Linked DNA regions of Xenopus tropicalis. The protein of the gene in region 4 interacts with the protein of the main gene of each other region in a biochemical or structural test. Links are inferred from orthologs where the notes say so. Each region holds a gene or a part of one and is shown on either strand. Other genes may lie near its edges.

Region 1 (4,532 bases), on a different chromosome or scaffold from region 4:
CTTGTAGGAAATGTAAGCATTTTACACAGACTTTTCTGAAGCCTTATCACCAGAATAAAATCAGAATGTCATATAAAAACTGACCTATTTACTTTAGTGACCTATTCTTTAAAAAAAAAAGCATTTCTCATCCAACGATCAAATACTACAGACGCGAACGGTAAGAAGAATGACTATATAATGCAATTTCAATATTAAATAACATCTAGACACTATAAATCTCATGATAGATTGTGCAGCAGAACTAAAAAATCATTCTAAGGTAAAGCATTTACATTTCCACAGGATTACAGTCAATGCCTGTGTTCACTCAAGCTTGACCCTGAAACATACAGCCGATCTGTCATGCCGCAGGTTAAGCCGTATCAAGATTGAGCAAACCAGAAAAATTCAACAAGATGGACAGATTCATTTGCATCAATGCTTCATTGTGTTTGCTTTCAGCTCGCCAGAGTCAACATGAACTCTTCAGTGTACTTTGGCAAAAACAGGTATTTTTAACCCATCGACCTCGAGAATTCATAGCAGAAATAAGATACGTGAATGGTATATTCCGTGCAGAGGCTTTGGGTTTAATGGCCCGGCGTGCTCGTTTTAACTCTTCCGCACAACGTCTACTGTATGGGAGTGAATACAACCCGTACTGCTGCCAGTACCTGCCAAGGTTGCGCACTATCAAATCAAAATTGCGCGGTTGCATTCCAACAACCTTTCCTTCTGCAAAAATTTTCAGTGTCGAAAAAAATAATTTCAGTGTTAACTATGTGTGCCAATTTGGGTTTGTTTTTCCTATGAAGCTCTGGACAAACATGTTGAAAAGGAACATTATTTTTTTTTTAAAAAAGTGCCTATCTTTGTCCGACACACATCGCCCAATGATTTCTACGCACAGATCGTAATAACCTTGTCAAACCGTGCCCGTTTTTCACAAGATGAAAGGCCACATGGCATAATGCAATTAATCGATCATTCCTGAGTTTCTGAAAACAATATGAGAATGGAAATAAGATTCTACTGCCTTAAAAAATAGCTTCTGCAAGAACCCCATCACACGTAATGATGTCTTTGGTTGCTTCTTCCTAAAGATTTTTGTTTGTTTTCTATTCTTTATGCCGCAGAAAAATGAGATCTTATGGAATCTTCCCGAAGCTGTCGGTGTTTCCCTAGGTTGCAGTCGTCCTGCTGATTTCGTCTTTCGATAGTTATTCTGTATTTCTTTCTGCAACGGGAGGAATGTCAATGGTGAGATGGTCAAGTGTCACTTTTTGCTACTAGAGGAGATTTTTCCATATGTTTTTGTAAATAAAAACTGCATTAAATAACCCAATGATAATATCTGTGTTGAAGGAGAGTCAATTTAGCCTGGACTTCAGGTGACTGGGTTTTAAATAGGATAAGGGTTTGCACACAGAAAACACAAGCACAGTGGTAGTATTAAAAAAAAATCCTTTCTATAATATGCAGAAGATTTAACAGCAAACAATTTTAATTACAAAATTACAGAAAATAACACATAAAATGATAAGATAATACATACCACAAAATGTGCATAGGCAAAAAAGAGACACGCATGATAGCGGATACACTTGCCAAAGATGAGAATTACCCCAACGTTTCAGCAAAGAGCCTTTCTCTAGGGGAATCGAGAACGTTGGGGTGTGCAAACCCTTATCCTATTTAAAATTACTGCTTTCGGTACCCTATACAGTTTTGGGTTTTTTTGCACCAAACACCTATGTTGCTTTTTTTGTATGTGAAGTGAGTGGCCTCCATTTATTTATATTTACTTTAGGTGACTGGGTCACAGAAATAACATATGAGGCTAGAGAATGTCTTCGGTTTCATAGAAGGGTTTGAGAAGAACCCTAAATCGGAGTGAAACTCCCCCTACTAAACAGATTCTGGGTCTTCAGTCTTGTGAAATGAAAGCCCAACCTTGTAATACATATAATTACATATATATAAAATGGTCATTCTCTTACAGTTCCAAAGATATCTATGATAGCAACTAAGCATTCACCATAAAGTTTCATGCAACCTCCTTTGGTTTTGAGCCCATTAGGGGACCATTTTCATAGTTGAGAACCACTGCACCAAATATTGTTTTGGGATGGATTCGGGGTTCATCCGAACCCAAAAAGCTGGGTTTGGTGCATCCCTAACTGCCAGGCATGCTGGACAATACAGTGATAACAGTCCCAGCATTTTATATCTAATCAATCACAACAGTATATATTTAGGAAAGGAAATCACATTTTATATTTCACTGATAGGTCCTGACATAGTATACAAATAACAGCAATTGATTCAGTGAAAATAAAACCACATTTTAATGGCTCAAAAATTCATTCAAAACATAATGCAAAACAAATTCAGATATATACTATACCAAACAGTGACAAGGTGCATCCTAGTGCCTCTCCTAACGCGTTTCGCACTGAGTGCTTCATCAGAGGAGGTGTGGTGTGTTGATGTCACATCCCTTTTATACCCATCCACATCTACCCTATACATTGTACAGGGTATTGCATTGAGCATATATTATAACAATATTTTAAAATATACACATTCCAGGGTTAAACAGTGCCCTGTATTCAGCATAAATTATACAGAGTCACATAAAAACCTCGTAGACATTGCAAATTTTCAAAATTCTTCTTAATCAAAAACTTTTTAACCATTATAATGGATATTATGGCCACTGTGTTAGAACATCACACCCAACATATAAAAATACAGTGAAGTTTTAAAGTGCAAATTAGTGCAAATCGATTAAAACCAGCTAAAAACTCTTTCTTTTTGTTCATTCGCTTTATCTTATATTCAGACCCCGACCAGTTACTCATAAGTCACTTTTCAAACCCAGAAGAATTGCCTTTAAGATCATTTGGTGCTATTTAGTGCTATAGGTTGCAACCCATATTTCTCCTACACAAATTATTTCCAGGATGACACTAAAAATGGTTTTAATTCAAATTTTGTATTCATCCCTTTTGGTATTACAGTGTTTAATGTAAATATCCACTTAGATTCTAACCGCAACAGCTTAGTAACCAGGTTTCCTTCACTTCTTTCATTTATTTTATCAATGCCAAACATTTGAAACTGCATCTGCTTGCCTTCATGTGAATATTTAAAATGTTTATATAAAGGGTTATCATCATCCTTATTTTTCAGTCCTCGCAGATGTTCTCCTAACCTTGTTCTTAGCTGTCTGATAGTCCGTCCCACATATATAGAACCACATTCACATTGTAGGCAGTAGATAACATACTGTGTTTGACATGATATATAAGTATCTATACTAAATTCTTTATCATTATTTTTACTGAAAAATGTTTTTTTATTACCAGTATATTTACAGGCTTTACAACCTTTGCATGGAAAGAAACCTTTTACATTACCTAACCAACATGTCACTTTCCTATCGTTATTTCTCTTCAATTTATTTGGGGCTATAAATCCCGCTATCGATTTTGCTTTTCTACTTATAACACCTGGTCTCATATTCAGCTTTTTTAACACTGGATCCACCTGTAAAATATTCCAGTTTCTTTTAATAACTTTAGTTATTTGTTTATATTGCACCCCAAAATCTAGAATGCACCTGATCTCTTCAACTTTTGTAGTTTTGGAGGTTTCCATTTTACTTTTTTTACCTCTATTTTTGTTACTATTTGCTATTAGGTCACCTACTTTGTGTAACGCTATTTGCAGATCATTTTTATTATATCCTCTCTCTTCGAGCCTCTCACACTCTTGTCTCGCTTGTTCTTTAAATATTTTATAATTAGTGAAATTTCTATAAAGTCTCACCAACTGTGCATATGGTATTGACTTTACAGTATGCTCTGGATGGAAGGAATCCCTTCTCAAAATTGTATTGCCTGCAACTAGTTTCCTAAATAGTTTTGTATTAAGTTTTTAGCTGGTTTTAATCGATTTGCACTAATTTGCACTTTAAAACTTCACTGTATTTTTATATGTTGGGTGTGATGTTCTAACACAGTGGCCATAATATCCATTATAATGGTTAAAAAGTTTTTGATTAAGAAGAATTTTGAAAATTTGCAATGTCTACGAGGTTTTTATGTGACTCTGTATAATTTATGCTGAATACAGGGCAATTTTAAACCCTGGAATGTGTATATTTTAAAATATTGTTATAATATATGCTCAATGCAATACCCTGTACAATGTATAGGGTAGATGTGGATGGGTATAAAAGGGATGTGACATCAACACACCACACCTCCTCTGATGAAGCACTCTGTGCGAAACGCGTTAGGAGAGGCACTAGGATGCACCTTGTCACTGTTTGGTATAGTATATATCTGAATTTGTTTTGCATTATGTTTTGAATGAATTTTTGAGCCATTAAAATGTGGTTTTATTTTCACTGAATCAATTGCTGTTACCAGCATTTTATATCTACTGTGAAATATTCATAAATGACCCCCCTGGTTCCCAAAGACAGGAAGTGTATCATGGCAAGACAAAACCATAAGTATTAAGGCTTTTTTATAACATAC
Region 2 (4,532 bases), on a different chromosome or scaffold from region 4:
TGGAGGATAGGGAGGCAGGGGGGAGTTACCTGTATATAAAGATGGAGGATAGGGAGGCAGGGAAGAGTTACCTGTATATAAAGATGGAGGATAGGGAGGCAGGGGGAGTTACCTGTATATAAAGATGGAGGATAGGGAGGCAGGGGGGAGTTACCTGTATATAAAGATGGAGGATAGGGAGGCAGGGAAGAGTTACCTGTATATAAAGATGGAGGATAGGGAGGCAGGGGGAGTTACCTGTATATAAAGATGGAGGATAGGGAGGCAGGGGGGAGTTACCTGTATATAAAGATGGAGGATAGAGAGGCAGGGGCGAGTTACCTGTATATAAAGATGGAGGATAGGGAGGCAGGGGGGAGTTACCTGTATATAAAGATGGAGGATAGACAGGCAGGGGCGAGTTACCTGTATATAAAGATGGAGGATAGGGAGGCAGGGGGGAGTTACCTGTATATAAAGATGGAGGATAGGGAGGCAGGGGGGAGTTACCTGTATATAAAGATGGAGGATAGGGAGGCAGGGGGGAGTTACCTGTATTTAAAGATGGAGGATAGGAAGGCAGGGGGGAGTTACCTGTATATAAAGATGGAGGGTAGGGAGGCGGGGGGAAGTTACCTGTATATAAAGATGGAGGATAGGGAGGCAGGGGGGAGTTACCTGTATATAAAGATGGAGGATAGGGAGGCGGGGGAGTTACCTGTATATAAAGATGGAGGTAGGGAGGCAGGGGGAGTTACCTGTATATAAAGATGGAGGATAGGGAGGCAGGGGGGAGTTACCTGTATATAAAGATGGAGGATAGGGAGGCAGGGGGAGTTACCTGTATATAAAGATGGAGGATAGGGAGGCAGGGGGAGTTACCTGTATATAAAGATGGAGGATAGGAAGGCTTAAGATGGGAGGAGCAGGGGAGTTACCTGTATATAAAGATGGAGGATAGGGAGGCAGGGGGAGTTACCTGTATATAAAGATGGAGGATAGGGAGGCAGGGGGAGTTACCTGTATATAAAGATGGAGGATAGGAAGGCAGGGGGGAGTTACCTGTATATAAAGATGGAGGATAGGGAGGCAGGGGGAGTTACCTGTATATAAAGATGGAGGATAGGGAGGCAGGGGGAGTTACCTGTATATAAAGATGGAGGATAGGAGGCAGGGGGAGTTACCTGTATATAAAGATGGAGGATAGGGAGGCAGGGGGAGTTACCTGTATATAAAGATGGAGGATAGGAAGGCAGGGGGAGTTACCTGTATATAAAGATGGAGGATAGGGAGGCAGGGGGAGTTACCTGTATATAAAGATGGAGGATAGGAAGGCAGGGGGGAGTTACCTGTATATAAAGATGGAGGATAGGGAAGGCAGGGGGAGTTACCTGTATATAAAGATGGAGGATAGGAAGGCAGGGGGGAGTTACCTGTATATAAAGATGGAGGATAGGGAGGCAGGGGGGAGTTACCTGTATATAAAGATGGAGGATAGGGAGGCAGGGGGGAGTTACCTGTATATAAAGATGGAGGATAGGGAGGCAGGGGGGAGTTACCTGTATATAAAGATGGAGGATAGGGAGGCAGGGGGGAGTTACCTGTATATAAAGATGGAGGATAGGGAGGCGGGGGGAGTTACCTGTATATAAAGATGGAGGATAGGGAGGCAGGGGGGAGTTACCTGTATATAAAGATGGAGGATAGAGAGGCAGGGGGAGTTACCTGTATATAAAGATGGAGGATAGGGAGGCAGGGGGGAGTTACCTGTATATAAAGATGGAGGATAGGGAGGCAGGGAGGAGTTACCTGTATATAAAGATGGAGGATAGGGAGGCGGGGGGAGTTACCTGTATATAAAGATGGAGGATACGGTGATGATCAGGAGGATAAAGCAGATCACTATAGACAGGATCTCCAGGATGGTAAAACTGGCTGCAGGGGGGGCACAAAGCAGAATACGGGGGGGTCACACAGCAGCCAGGAGAGTAACAGCGCCCCCACATGCCCATAATCCCTAGCTAATAGCCCCCAAGTGAGGCTACAGCCTCTATAACAAATCCATATACCTGATCCCTACATGCCCCCCCCCCCCTGGCACCTACATTTCTTGCACTTGGGGTCACTGTGATCAAACCCACAGGGAGGGACATCCCTCGGGATCCGGTTTCCCGGCCACTCGATCTCCCGTCCCGGCAGCGGAACAATCTTCCTCAGTGTCCCATTGTAATTATACACAATCTGGGGGAGAGAAATTGCATTAAAGGGGAAGTTCACCTGCATTTCATTTTCCCGGGACCCCCCCCCCCCCAATACCGGTTCCTCACCTGGAAGGTTCCGTGGGGTTCATACATGTCCCACAGGGAAAAGTCGTTCTCCCGGTCGCCATTGTCATCGATCTTCACAAACCCAGAAGCCCCTGCGGCAGATAAAGGGTAAGTTAAACCACTACAAATACACAGCTTTACCAGGGGCCCCAAAGCAAATACATAGGGCCAATTAGCGAGTGTATCACATGGTTGAGTATAAGCTCTGCGGTCCAGCCGCTGACCCTGATTCTGCCCGAAGCACAGCTGGCGGTGTCAGTGTACGGCAGCCCGAGGGGATCAGCCTGACATATAGAAACCCCCCAAGCGTTACAGCAAACTCTTCCCACCCACACATCCCTCCCAGCCAGAACATTCCTCCTGTCTAATTACCAGCCTGCCTTGGCTGGAGTCATTAGCACAGCCTGCACGGTGAGAGCTGGGGGAGAGCGTGACCCCAATCTTATATAGACAGCAGCAAGGCTGAGGGAGGAGAATTCTGGGAGATGGGAGAGGATTGTGGGATACATCAATTACATGAGAAAAGACAGATCAGTATAAAGGCATAAGGCTACACTCGTGTATTGTAAGGGATAATGTACCCCCTACTGTAACTGATAAGGATATTAGCAGTCACTGAGGGGTTCTGTGCCCCCCATATAAAGGCACAAGGCTGCAGGCTGAGTTATACAGGGAACTCTGAGTATCACTCATGTATTATAAGGGATAATGTACCCCCTACTGTATATGATAAGGATATTAGCAGTCACTGAGGGGTTCTGTGCCCCCCATATAAAGGCACAAGGCTGCAGGCTGAGTTATACAGGGAACTCTGAGTATCACTCATGTATTATAAGGGATAATGTACCCCCTACTGTAAATGATAAGGATATTAGCAGTCACTGAGGGGTTCTGTGCCCCCCATATAAAGGCACAAGGCTGCAGGCTGAGTTATACAGGGAACTCTGAGTATCACTCATGTATTATAAGGGATAATGTACCCCCTACTGTAAATGATAAGGATATTAGCAGTCACTGAGGGGTTCTGTGCCCCCCATATAAAGGCACAAGGCTGCAGGCTGAGTTATACAGGGAACTCTGAGTATCACTCATGTATTATAAGGGATAATGTACCCCTACTGTAAATGATAAGGATATTAGCAGTCACTGAGGGGTTCTGTGCCCCCCATATAAAGGCACAAGGCTGCAGGCTGAGTTATACAGGGAACTCTGAGTATCACTCATGTATTATAAGGGATAATGTACCCCCTACTGTAAATGATAAGGATATTAGCAGTCACTGAGGGGTTCTGTGCCCCCCATATAAAGGCACAAGGCTGCAGGCTGAGTTATACAGGGAACTCTGAGTATCACTCATGTATTATAAGGGATAATGTACCCCTACTGTAAATGATAAGGATATTAGCAGTCACTGAGGGGTTCTGTGCCCCCCATATAAAGGCACAAGGCTGCAGGCTGAGTTATACAGGGAACTCTGAGTATCACTCATGTATTATAAGGGATAATGTACCCCTACTGTAAATGATAAGGATATTAGCAGTCACTGAGGGGTTCTGTGCCCCCATATAAAGGCACAAGGCTGCAGGCTGAGTTATACAGGGAACTCTGAGTATCACTCATGTATTATAAGGGATAATGTACCCCCTACTGTAAATGATAAGGATATTAGCAGTCACTGAGGGGTTCTGTGCCCATATAAAGGCACAAGGCTGCAGGCTGAGTTATACAGGGAACTCTGAGTATCACTCATGTATTATAAGGGATAATGTACCCCCTACTGTAAATGATAAGGATATTAGCAGTCACTGAGGGGCTCTGTGCCCCCCATATAAAGGCACAAGGCTGCAGGCTGAGTTATACAGGGAACTCTGAGTATCACTCATGTATTATAAGGGATAATGTACCCCCTACTGTAAATGATAAGGATATTAGCAGTCACTGAGGGGTTCTGTGCCCCCCATATAAAGGCACAAGGCTGCAGGCTGAGTTATACAGGGAACTCTGAGTATCACTCATGTATTATAAGGGATACTGTACCCCCTACTGTATATGATAAGGATATTAGCAGTCACATAGAATGGTTTGTGTAGGTTCTCACCGTAGAAGGATTTATTTCTCATGTAACTGGTGACGGCCGAGGCATTCTTCATGCTGTAGCCGTTGGCGCGGGTCTCATTGACAGCGTGGGCATACAGCAGCACCGAGTCGTGGAACGACGCTGACAGG
Region 3 (4,532 bases), on a different chromosome or scaffold from region 4:
TCTACATATACCTACTGTGTGTTCTACCCTCACGTTCTACATATATCTACAATGTGTTCTACCCTCACATTCTACATATATCTACAGTGTGTTCTACCCTCCCCGTTCTATATATACCTACTGTGTGTTCTACCCTTACGTTCTACATATACCTACTGTGTGTTCTACCCTCCCCGTTCTATATATACCTACTGTGTGTTCTACCCTCACGTTCTACATATACCTACTGTGTGTTCTACTCTTACGTTCTACATATACCTACTGTGTGTTCTACCCTCCCCGTTCTACATATACCTACTGTGAGTTCTTCCCTCACGTTCTACATATATCTACAGTGTGTTCTATCCTCACGTTCTACATATACCTACTGTGTGTTCTACCCTCACATTCTACATATATCTACAGTGTGTTCTACCCTCACGTTCTACATATACCTACTGTGTGTTCTACTCTTACGTTCTACATATACCTACTGTGTGTTCTACCCTCACGTTCTACATATATCTACAGTGTGTTCTATCCTCACGTTCTACATATACCTACTGTGTGTTCTACCCTCACGTTCTACATATACCTACTGTGTGTTCTACCCTCACGTTCTACATATATCTACAGTGTGTTCTACCCTCAAGTTCTACATATACCTACTGTGAGTTCTACCCTCACGTTCTACATATACCTACTGTGTGTTCTACTCTTACGTTCTACATATACCTACTGTGTGTTCTACCCTCCCCATTCTATATATACCTACTGTGTGTTCTACCCTCACGTTCTACATATACCTACTGTGTGTTCTACCCTTGCGTTCTACATATACCTACTGTGTGTTCTACCCTTGCGTTCTACATATACCTACTGTGTGTTCTACCCTCACGTTCTACATATATCTACAATGTGTTCTACCCTCACATTCTACATATATCTACAGTGTGTTCTACCCTCCCCGTTCTATATATACCTACTGTGTGTTCTACCCTTACGTTCTACATATACCTACTGTGTGTTCTACCCTCCCCGTTCTATATATACCTACTGTGTGTTCTACCCTCACGTTCTACATATACCTACTGTGTGTTCTACTCTTACGTTCTACATATACCTAATGTGTGTTCTACCCTCCCCATTCTACATATACCTACTGTGAGTTCTACCCTCACGTTCTACATATATCTACAGTGTGTTCTATCCTCACGTTCTACATATACCTACTGGGTGTTCTACCCTCACATTCTACATATATCTACAGTGTGTTCTACCCTCACGTTCTACATATACCTACTGTGTGTTCTACCCTCACATTCTACATATATCAACAGTGTGTTCTACCCTCATGTTCTGCATATAATCGACAGTGTGTTCTACCCTCATGTTCTACATATACCTACTGTGTGTTCTACCCTCATGTTCTACATATACCTACTGTGTGTTCTACCCTCACTTATCCCCTATACACATAAATAGGTAAACCACAAGGCTGAAGGCTGAAGGATCTCATTTATAGGATATTCATGTCTCCTGTGTGTATCTATATATTTATACTGTGCGGTACTCACTGCGGAAGGATCTGGTACAACAGGTTCTCGGCCTTGCGCTTTTCCTCTAGATAGGCCTGTGTTCGTTCCTCCACCAGTTTCTCCAGGTTGTTGGCATACTGCTCCATACGGGAAAGCAGATTATCTAGGATACTGGTGCTGCCTTCCCTGCAAGTGGAAGGCACAAAGTTCAACCCTACAGGGTTATTGGCGAGTATAGGTTAAACCCAATATTTCAGAATTTAAACTCATTTTTTACGATGGGCTCCTTACTTATTGAACTTGCAGATGTAGGCCTTGATCTGGTTGAAATCTGGTCTGTCCAAAGGTTCCTCGGCCCAACATCTGTCCATCAAGATGCCCAGTTCTTCACTGTGACAACTGATGTCTACTGTGGGGCGGAAATAGGGGCGCTGGCCATTCCGCACCTTTTGTACTATCTCTAAGGAGAAAGGGAATGGTCAGTCAGGAGTCTGAGGTGCATCTGTGTAATGCCCAGCCTCTATACTGTGTCAGTCAGGAGTCTGTGATGCATCTGTGTAATGCCCAACCTCTATACTGTGTCAGTCAGGAGTCTGTGATGCATCTGTGTAATGCCCAACCTCTATACTGTGTCACTCAGGAGTCTGTGATGCATCTGTGTAATGCCCAACCTCTATACTGTGTCACTCAGGAGTCTGTGATGCATCTGTGTAATGCCCAACCTCTATACTGTGTCACTCAGGAGTCTGTGATGCATCTGTGTAATGCCCAACCTCTATACTGTGTCACTCAGGAGTCTGTGATGCATCTGTGTAATGCCCAACCTCTATACTGTGTCACTCAGGAGTCTGTGATGCATCTGTGTAATGTCCAACCTCTATACTGTGTCAGTCAGGAGTCTGTGATGCATCTGTGTAATGCCCAACCTCTATACTGTGTCACTCAGGAGTCTGTGATGCATCTGTGTAATGCCCAACCTCTATACTGTGTCACTCAGGAGTCTGTGATGCATCTGTGTAATGCCCAACCTCTATACTGTGTCACTCAGGAGTCTGTGATGCATCTGTGTAATGCCCAACCTCTATACTGTGTCACTCAGGAGTCTGTGATGCATCTGTGTAATGTCCAACCTCTATACTGTGTCAGTCAGGAGTCTGTGATGCATCTGTGTAATGCCCAACCTCTATACTGTGTCACTCAGGAGTCTGTGATGCATCTGTGTAATGTCCAACCTCTATACTGTGTCACTCGGGAGTCTGTGATGCATCTGTGTAATGCCCAACCTCTATACTGTGTCACTCGGGAGTCTGTGATGCATCTGTGTAATGCCCAACCTCTATACTGTGTCACTCAGGAGTCTGTGATGCATCTGTGTAATGCCCAACCTCTATACTGTGCCAGTCAGGAGTCTGTGATGCATCTGTGTAATGCCCAACCTCTATACTGTGTCACTCAGGAGTCTGTGATGCATCTGTGTAATGCCCAACCTCTATACTGTGTCACTCAGGAGTCTGTGATGCATCTGTGTAATGCCCAACCTCTATACTGTGTCACTCAGGAGTCTGTGATGCATCTGTGTAATGCCCAACCTCTATACTGTGTCACTCAGGAGTCTGTGAGGCATCTGTGTAATGCCCAACCTCTATACTGTGTCAGTCAGGAGTCTGTGATGCATCTGTGTAATGCCCAACCTCTATACTGTGTCCCTCAGGAGTCTGTGATGCATCTGTGTAATGCCCAACCTCTATACTGTGTCACTCAGGAGTCTGTGATGCATCTGTGTAATGCCCAACCTCTATACTGTGTCAGTCAGGAGTCTGTGATGCATCTGTGTAATGCCCAACCTCTATACTGTGCCAGTCAGGAGTCTGTGATGCATCTGTGTAATGCCCAACCTCTATACTGTGTCACTCAGGAGTCTGTGATGCATCTGTGTAATGCCCAACCTCTATACTGTGTCAGTCAGGAGTTTGTGATGCATCTGTGTAATGCCCAGCATCTATACTGTGCCAGTCAGGAGTCTGTGATGCATCTGTGTAATGCCCAACCTCTATACTGTGTCACTCAGGAGTCTGTGATGCATCTGTGTAATGCCCAACCTCTATACTGTGTCAGTCAGGAGTCTGTGATGCATCTGTGTAATGTCCAACCTCTATACTGTGTCACTCAGGAGTCTGTGATGCATCTGTGTAATGCCCAACCTCTATACTGTGTCACTCAGGAGTCTGTGATGCATCTGTGTAATGCCCAACCTCTATACTGTGCCAGTCAGGAGTCTGTGATGCATCTGTGTAATGCCACATAAATGAATATATGAATTTACCTTTTGGGCTGAGGTCCATCCCCTGGATATAAAAGCAGCCGTTTCTCAGCGCAATCTCCTGTAGGATAATCCCAAAGCTGTACACATCGCCTTTTTGGGTGCCCGGTGCCGGGGGTCTCGTCATCCGCAAAAGCTCCGGAGCCGTCCATAACTTCTCTGTATGATGAAAGCATGAATAGGACCGGCAGTTTAACAACTGTCAGCACGAGGGAAAGGCTCAGTCACTGACTGTCACCACTGGGTGCTGCCTCCTATCTCTGAAGGAAAGGCTCAGTCACTAACTGTCACCACTGGGTGCTGCTCTTATCTCTGAGGGAAAGGCTCAGTCACTGACTGTCACCACTGGGTGCTGCCTCCTATCTCTGAGGGAAAGGCTCAGTCACTGACTGTCACCACTGGGTGCTGCCTCCTATCTCTGAAGGAAAGGCTCAGTCACTAACTGTCACCACTGGGTGCTGCTCTTATCTCTGAGGGAAAGGCTCAGTCACTAACTGTCACCACTGGGTGCTGCTCTTATCTCTGAGGGAAAGGCTCAGTCACTGACTGTCACCACTGGGTGCTGCTCCTATCTCTGAGGTGAATGGCTCAGTCACTGACTGTCACCACTGGGTGCTGCCTCCTATCTCTGAGGGAAAGGCTCAGTCACTAACTGTCACCACTGGGTGCTGCTCTTATCTCTGAGGGAAAGGCTC
Region 4 (4,458 bases):
ATAGCTAATAGTAACATTCATAAATATATATCCCATGCATACACAAGCAGGTCCAGCATCCCACGGCAACAAATTAGACTCCTGCTTTCATTGTGACAGCTTTACTATATCTGTGCTGGTGGCAGTTGGTTACTGGATTATGCTATTTTACAACCTTAAAACACTTTTCAGAAGAATATCAGTAAGTAAATACTAAGTAAATATAGGAAAATAATTTAAATAATCCAGTTGTCCATTTCTGACCTGTATGTATGAAAATATAGATTTTTGTACCATATCCAGCATATGGAAATTGAACAAGGCTTTCTATAATAACTAATGTTTAGGCCTTTGGGATGTTATTGGAAAAGAAAGTAAGACATCATAATATCTTCTAAATCTGTTTCTGACAGTGTACAAAGGGGAGAGCCAAGGCTGAGGGTTGATGGAAGGTATAAGCACTGAACTTTGTCTCTCACATTGTCATCTGGATTTATACGTCTAAATTAATTTGCATATGAGATCATCTGAATTATGTTGGATTTATTAAATGTTGACCTTGGCACAGATGCAATGATCAAAGTGCATGTGCTTGCTTGTAACAGAAATGACTCTTTACAATAATAACAATATATATTAGGCTCACATTTTGATAAATCTGCCCTTAAAAGTTGTCTTTTTTTCCCTCTTCCACTTGTATTAACATCTCAAGCAATTAACTATCAGTTTAATGAAATGAATAACACAAGCCAATATAAAGTGTCAGCTGTCATTTTTAATATGAATTATGAAGTGCTACCAAATGTTGTTATAAAATATCAAATAAATAGTCATAAATAAATAAATAAGAACAAAGACTTAAATAGAACACAAATGTCTATGCAAAGTTTATAGGGCATAAAGAAACAGAAGAGAATCTGAAATCCTTCCTGGATCAATATCTCCTGGACCCTGAAAACAGAATAATAAATACTGGTTAACAACTATTCCACATGTGTATAATCTACAGAGGTCAGCCCTCAGTTGAGAATATTTGCTGGTAATAAACTGGTCTACAATAATGAAATCTTTATGTCACAGGAGCAGTATGCCTTGTGCATCACACTACTTATATATATAATTAGCAGAGCCAATGTAAAGCACTTTCTACTATCTGAGTGGGGTTTCTAAGAATACAATGGGATCTAAAGGCTATTTTTCTCAGGCAACTAACATATATCCATTGCTTGTGTATTCAAGCTATAAGATTATTTACTCCTAAGTGACCAGTTATGGAACTGCTCCCAGAAAATGATGCCCTCTAAGCAAAATCGTATTTATCAGATGCTGCCTACCTTTAATTACAATAATTCCCATGAATACATTGCACAAGGCAATAGGTTTACCATTTAATAGAAGTGTTACAGTATCACAGAACCTTAGTCAGTAGCACGGAGACAGAGTCGGGTGAGTCGCAGAGGTGCCGCAGTACTTGTTACGTGTTAACGCTTTCCGTCCCACGGCACATGAGCCCGTCCCATCTCTAGAACATCGCACAAAATTCTCGTGCACTTACCATTACAGCCCATTCCACTCAGGGAATCGATTCTGTCTATTCGTCTTCCAAAGCAGCCGGAGCCCCTCATCATTTTGGGGTTTCGCAGCGACCTTAACCCTTTGAGGAATGAGTCCTTAAGCGGCAGCTGGGGCTCTGGGAACGACTGGGAGGCAATCTCTTCTTGGTCTATTACAGCCAGCCGAGCAGCATCGGCATCCTCTGAACTAGGATTTGTAGCATCTGCGTCCAAAGCTTCCATAACAGCCAGTTTCTCTTCCAGCCTCTCCAGTACCCCCTGTAGCAGAACATGAAGGCAGCATATAAGTCTGGCACACAGTTACATTAACCCCAGGCTGCGCTTTCCTGCCCACACTGCTACTTTGCCAGGAATGTTACTTCTAGACGTGTTATGCAGCAACTGTAAATTAATAATACTACAGCTTTTATTAACTGCAGTCTGAGAAGGCGCAATTTATATGCCTAGCAAATCATTTCTGCATTGGGCACCTTTACGTGTCTTCTGCCCTTCTAAAGCCTTGTAATCTATCCCCTACACTTTATAATTCTGTATACTAGTACACTCCATACCCTGTTACCCATGTCAAGCTACAAGGAAAGGAAATCACAATTATATAGGACACGTGAAAAAACTCACCTTTAAGGTGTCCAGGTCTCTGTCTTTGTCCAAGTCCATAACTGGGTGGGCTGCACAGCTCTGGAACTGTAAGGAGACAAATAGCAGGGAGCCACAGAACAAAAAGACTTTCCACTCCATTGCAACTGATGCCAGCTTTGTAGCTCTTACACCTTCTCTGCAGTCCAGTTACTGTCCTCTGCTTCTGCTTCTCTTCCTCTCTTGTTTCTGTGCCCTCTCTCTGCCTCTCAAACTCTTCCCTTTCTGTGTGTGTGTCTCTATTTGCCCCTTTCTTGCTTTCACTCCCAAACCAGCCTGGCTGCACTTTTATACCATAGTGGTGTACTCAGAGGTTATCTGAAAACTTATCTGGACACATTCTAGCACCAGCATTACTCTGGCTAGAAACATCCAGTTTGCCAGTCGAAGATTCCGTTTTTAGTTGTCACTAAAAGGAATGTGCCACCCTGTGTCCCTGTGATGTTGCACTTCAGATTACCCCCACCCCCAGTGGCATACTTAGAACTTTTGTTGTGAGAGATCTGTATGTAAGCACCGGATACTAATTGTTAGAATTCACCCAGATGAGGGCATTGCAGTTATCCTGTACCTTGTATAGTTCCAGGATTTTTATAGGACAGGTTGGTGCAGTTTGAGCCTTTCAAAGGAAGTGAGTAATACATTATAAATCCCTGTCTAGTTTGAAAAATTAATTTCAAGTAGCTTAATCTTCCTTGTTATTTACGAAACTTCACCTCCACCCTTTTCCTACAGGATTGAATTGCATCAATCTTTGATTTTTTGTCCAAAAAATTAGTCAATATATTTTTTATGCAAATAATACATGTATCCGTGAGTGAGAGCATATTCTTGCATTACAAATGGTTAATGCACATTTTTTGTACATAAAGCCTTAAGGTATATTTCATAAGAAAGTATCTTCCTGCTGCTGACTGGCATTGCTTGCTTCAGCTAAGTTTATTATCCATAACAACACCCAAGTGTTTGTCCATCAAGGATTTACCAAACTTCAGTAAGACCAGTTGATAAAAAGTAGACTCACCACAAAAACTGGTGGGTCCATGTATGCACACCCCAGATCTTCAGCTTAATGTGTAATCATCAGACTTTCAGAAAAGCAACAGGCTGATACCTACTGGACCACAGCTGAGAACTTACTGAATTAAACGTTCTTAAGGCATTTAAAATGGGCTATTTGTTATGCCTTTTAAGGATGTAAATACATCCTTAAAAGGCATAACAAATAGCCCATTTTTGTACCTTGTAAGAATTTAAATTCTTTATAATAAATATTGGCATTTAGCATTAGGTTCTCAACTGTGACCCAGTTAGGGCGAAGACACATGGAGCTACTAGTAGCTACTAGTGGCTACTAAACGCCAGAAAATACCCTGCCATAGACAATACTGAGAATTGCCTCTGCTAAGACACACGTAGAGACAATTATCAGTAAATGATCAGTAAATGATCAGCATTGTCTCTTTTAGTAGCCAGGACAAGTAGCTGCTTCTAGTAGCTCTGTGTGTCTTCACCCTGAGTGTCAGCCTGTTTTGCTGAAATTGTAGTACAGGTATCGGACCCCTTATCCGGAAACCCGTTATCCAGAAAGCTCCGAATTACGGAAAGGCTGTCTCCCATAGACTCCATTTTAATCAAATAATTCAGAATTTTAAAACTGATTTCCTTTTTCTATGTAGAAATAAAACAGTACCTTGTAATTGATCCCAACTAAGCTATAAATAATCCTTATTGGATGCAAAACAATCCTATTAGGTTTAATTAATGTTTTATTGATTTTTTAGTGGACTTAAGGTATTAAGATCCAAATTACGGAAAGACCCCTTATCCGGAATACCCTTGGTCCCGAGCATTCTGGATAATGGGTCCTATACCTGTACCTTACTCTGATTAAGTCTGATAAGCAACTTATAATGTAATCACCAATCCAGTTTATTATATAAATAGACCACACTGGGTGTTTACCACCCTGCTTAGACTAAAGAGCCAGCTAGAAAGAATTTAGTGCTTTGTCTAAATTGTTAAAACAACATTTAATAAATATAATTTAAAACATATATATTAATAAATATATTCCAATAAATAGATTACCCGTTTCATTAAATCAGTCTTGGTACTACAGCTGATTTATCCACAATCAGTTTGTACTTGTAAGCTTTTACCATTTGCTCAGTATGCACTAATTGACAAGTTTTAACCGTTCCGTGCCACTAATAGGCTAATCATCAGATAGAGTCAGTATAAGTTAGGGGGGGGTTTAGCTGTACTG

Evidence for each region.
Region 1: the proteins of nppb (region 4) and npr3 form a complex in vitro, tested with the Homo sapiens proteins (4 studies listed by BioGRID, with this or other methods). The link is inferred for Xenopus tropicalis from reciprocal best matches to the Homo sapiens genes NPPB and NPR3.
Region 2: the proteins of nppb (region 4) and npr1 form a complex in vitro, tested with the Homo sapiens proteins (2 studies listed by BioGRID). The link is inferred for Xenopus tropicalis from reciprocal best matches to the Homo sapiens genes NPPB and NPR1.
Region 3: the proteins of nppb (region 4) and npr2 form a complex in vitro, tested with the Homo sapiens proteins (3 studies listed by BioGRID). The link is inferred for Xenopus tropicalis from reciprocal best matches to the Homo sapiens genes NPPB and NPR2.

What each region holds. Positions count from the first base shown.
Region 1 is NC_030677.2:200,602,737-200,607,268, forward strand, and holds the end of npr3 (atrial natriuretic peptide receptor 3), read right to left. Parts: intron 1,220-4,532; coding exon 1,108-1,219; 3' UTR 161-1,107; downstream 1-160. UniProt on the Homo sapiens protein: Receptor for the natriuretic peptide hormones, binding with similar affinities atrial natriuretic peptide NPPA/ANP, brain natriuretic peptide NPPB/BNP, and C-type natriuretic peptide NPPC/CNP.
Region 2 is NC_030684.2:144,221,785-144,226,316, reverse strand, and holds part of npr1 (atrial natriuretic peptide receptor 1), read right to left. Parts: coding exon 4,405-4,532; intron 2,399-4,404; coding exon 2,307-2,398; intron 2,221-2,306; coding exon 2,085-2,220; intron 1,915-2,084; coding exon 1,830-1,914; intron 1-1,829. UniProt on the Homo sapiens protein: Receptor for the atrial natriuretic peptide NPPA/ANP and the brain natriuretic peptide NPPB/BNP which are potent vasoactive hormones playing a key role in cardiovascular homeostasis.
Region 3 is NC_030677.2:215,288,263-215,292,794, reverse strand, and holds part of npr2 (atrial natriuretic peptide receptor 2), read right to left. Parts: intron 3,997-4,532; coding exon 3,841-3,996; intron 1,978-3,840; coding exon 1,809-1,977; intron 1,704-1,808; coding exon 1,557-1,703; intron 1-1,556. UniProt on the Homo sapiens protein: Receptor for the C-type natriuretic peptide NPPC/CNP hormone. Has guanylate cyclase activity upon binding of its ligand. May play a role in the regulation of skeletal growth.
Region 4 is NC_030683.2:65,825,299-65,829,756, forward strand, and holds nppb (natriuretic peptides B), read right to left. Parts: upstream 2,466-4,458; 5' UTR 2,292-2,465; coding exon 2,172-2,291; intron 1,812-2,171; coding exon 1,535-1,811; intron 931-1,534; coding exon 914-930; 3' UTR 735-913; downstream 1-734.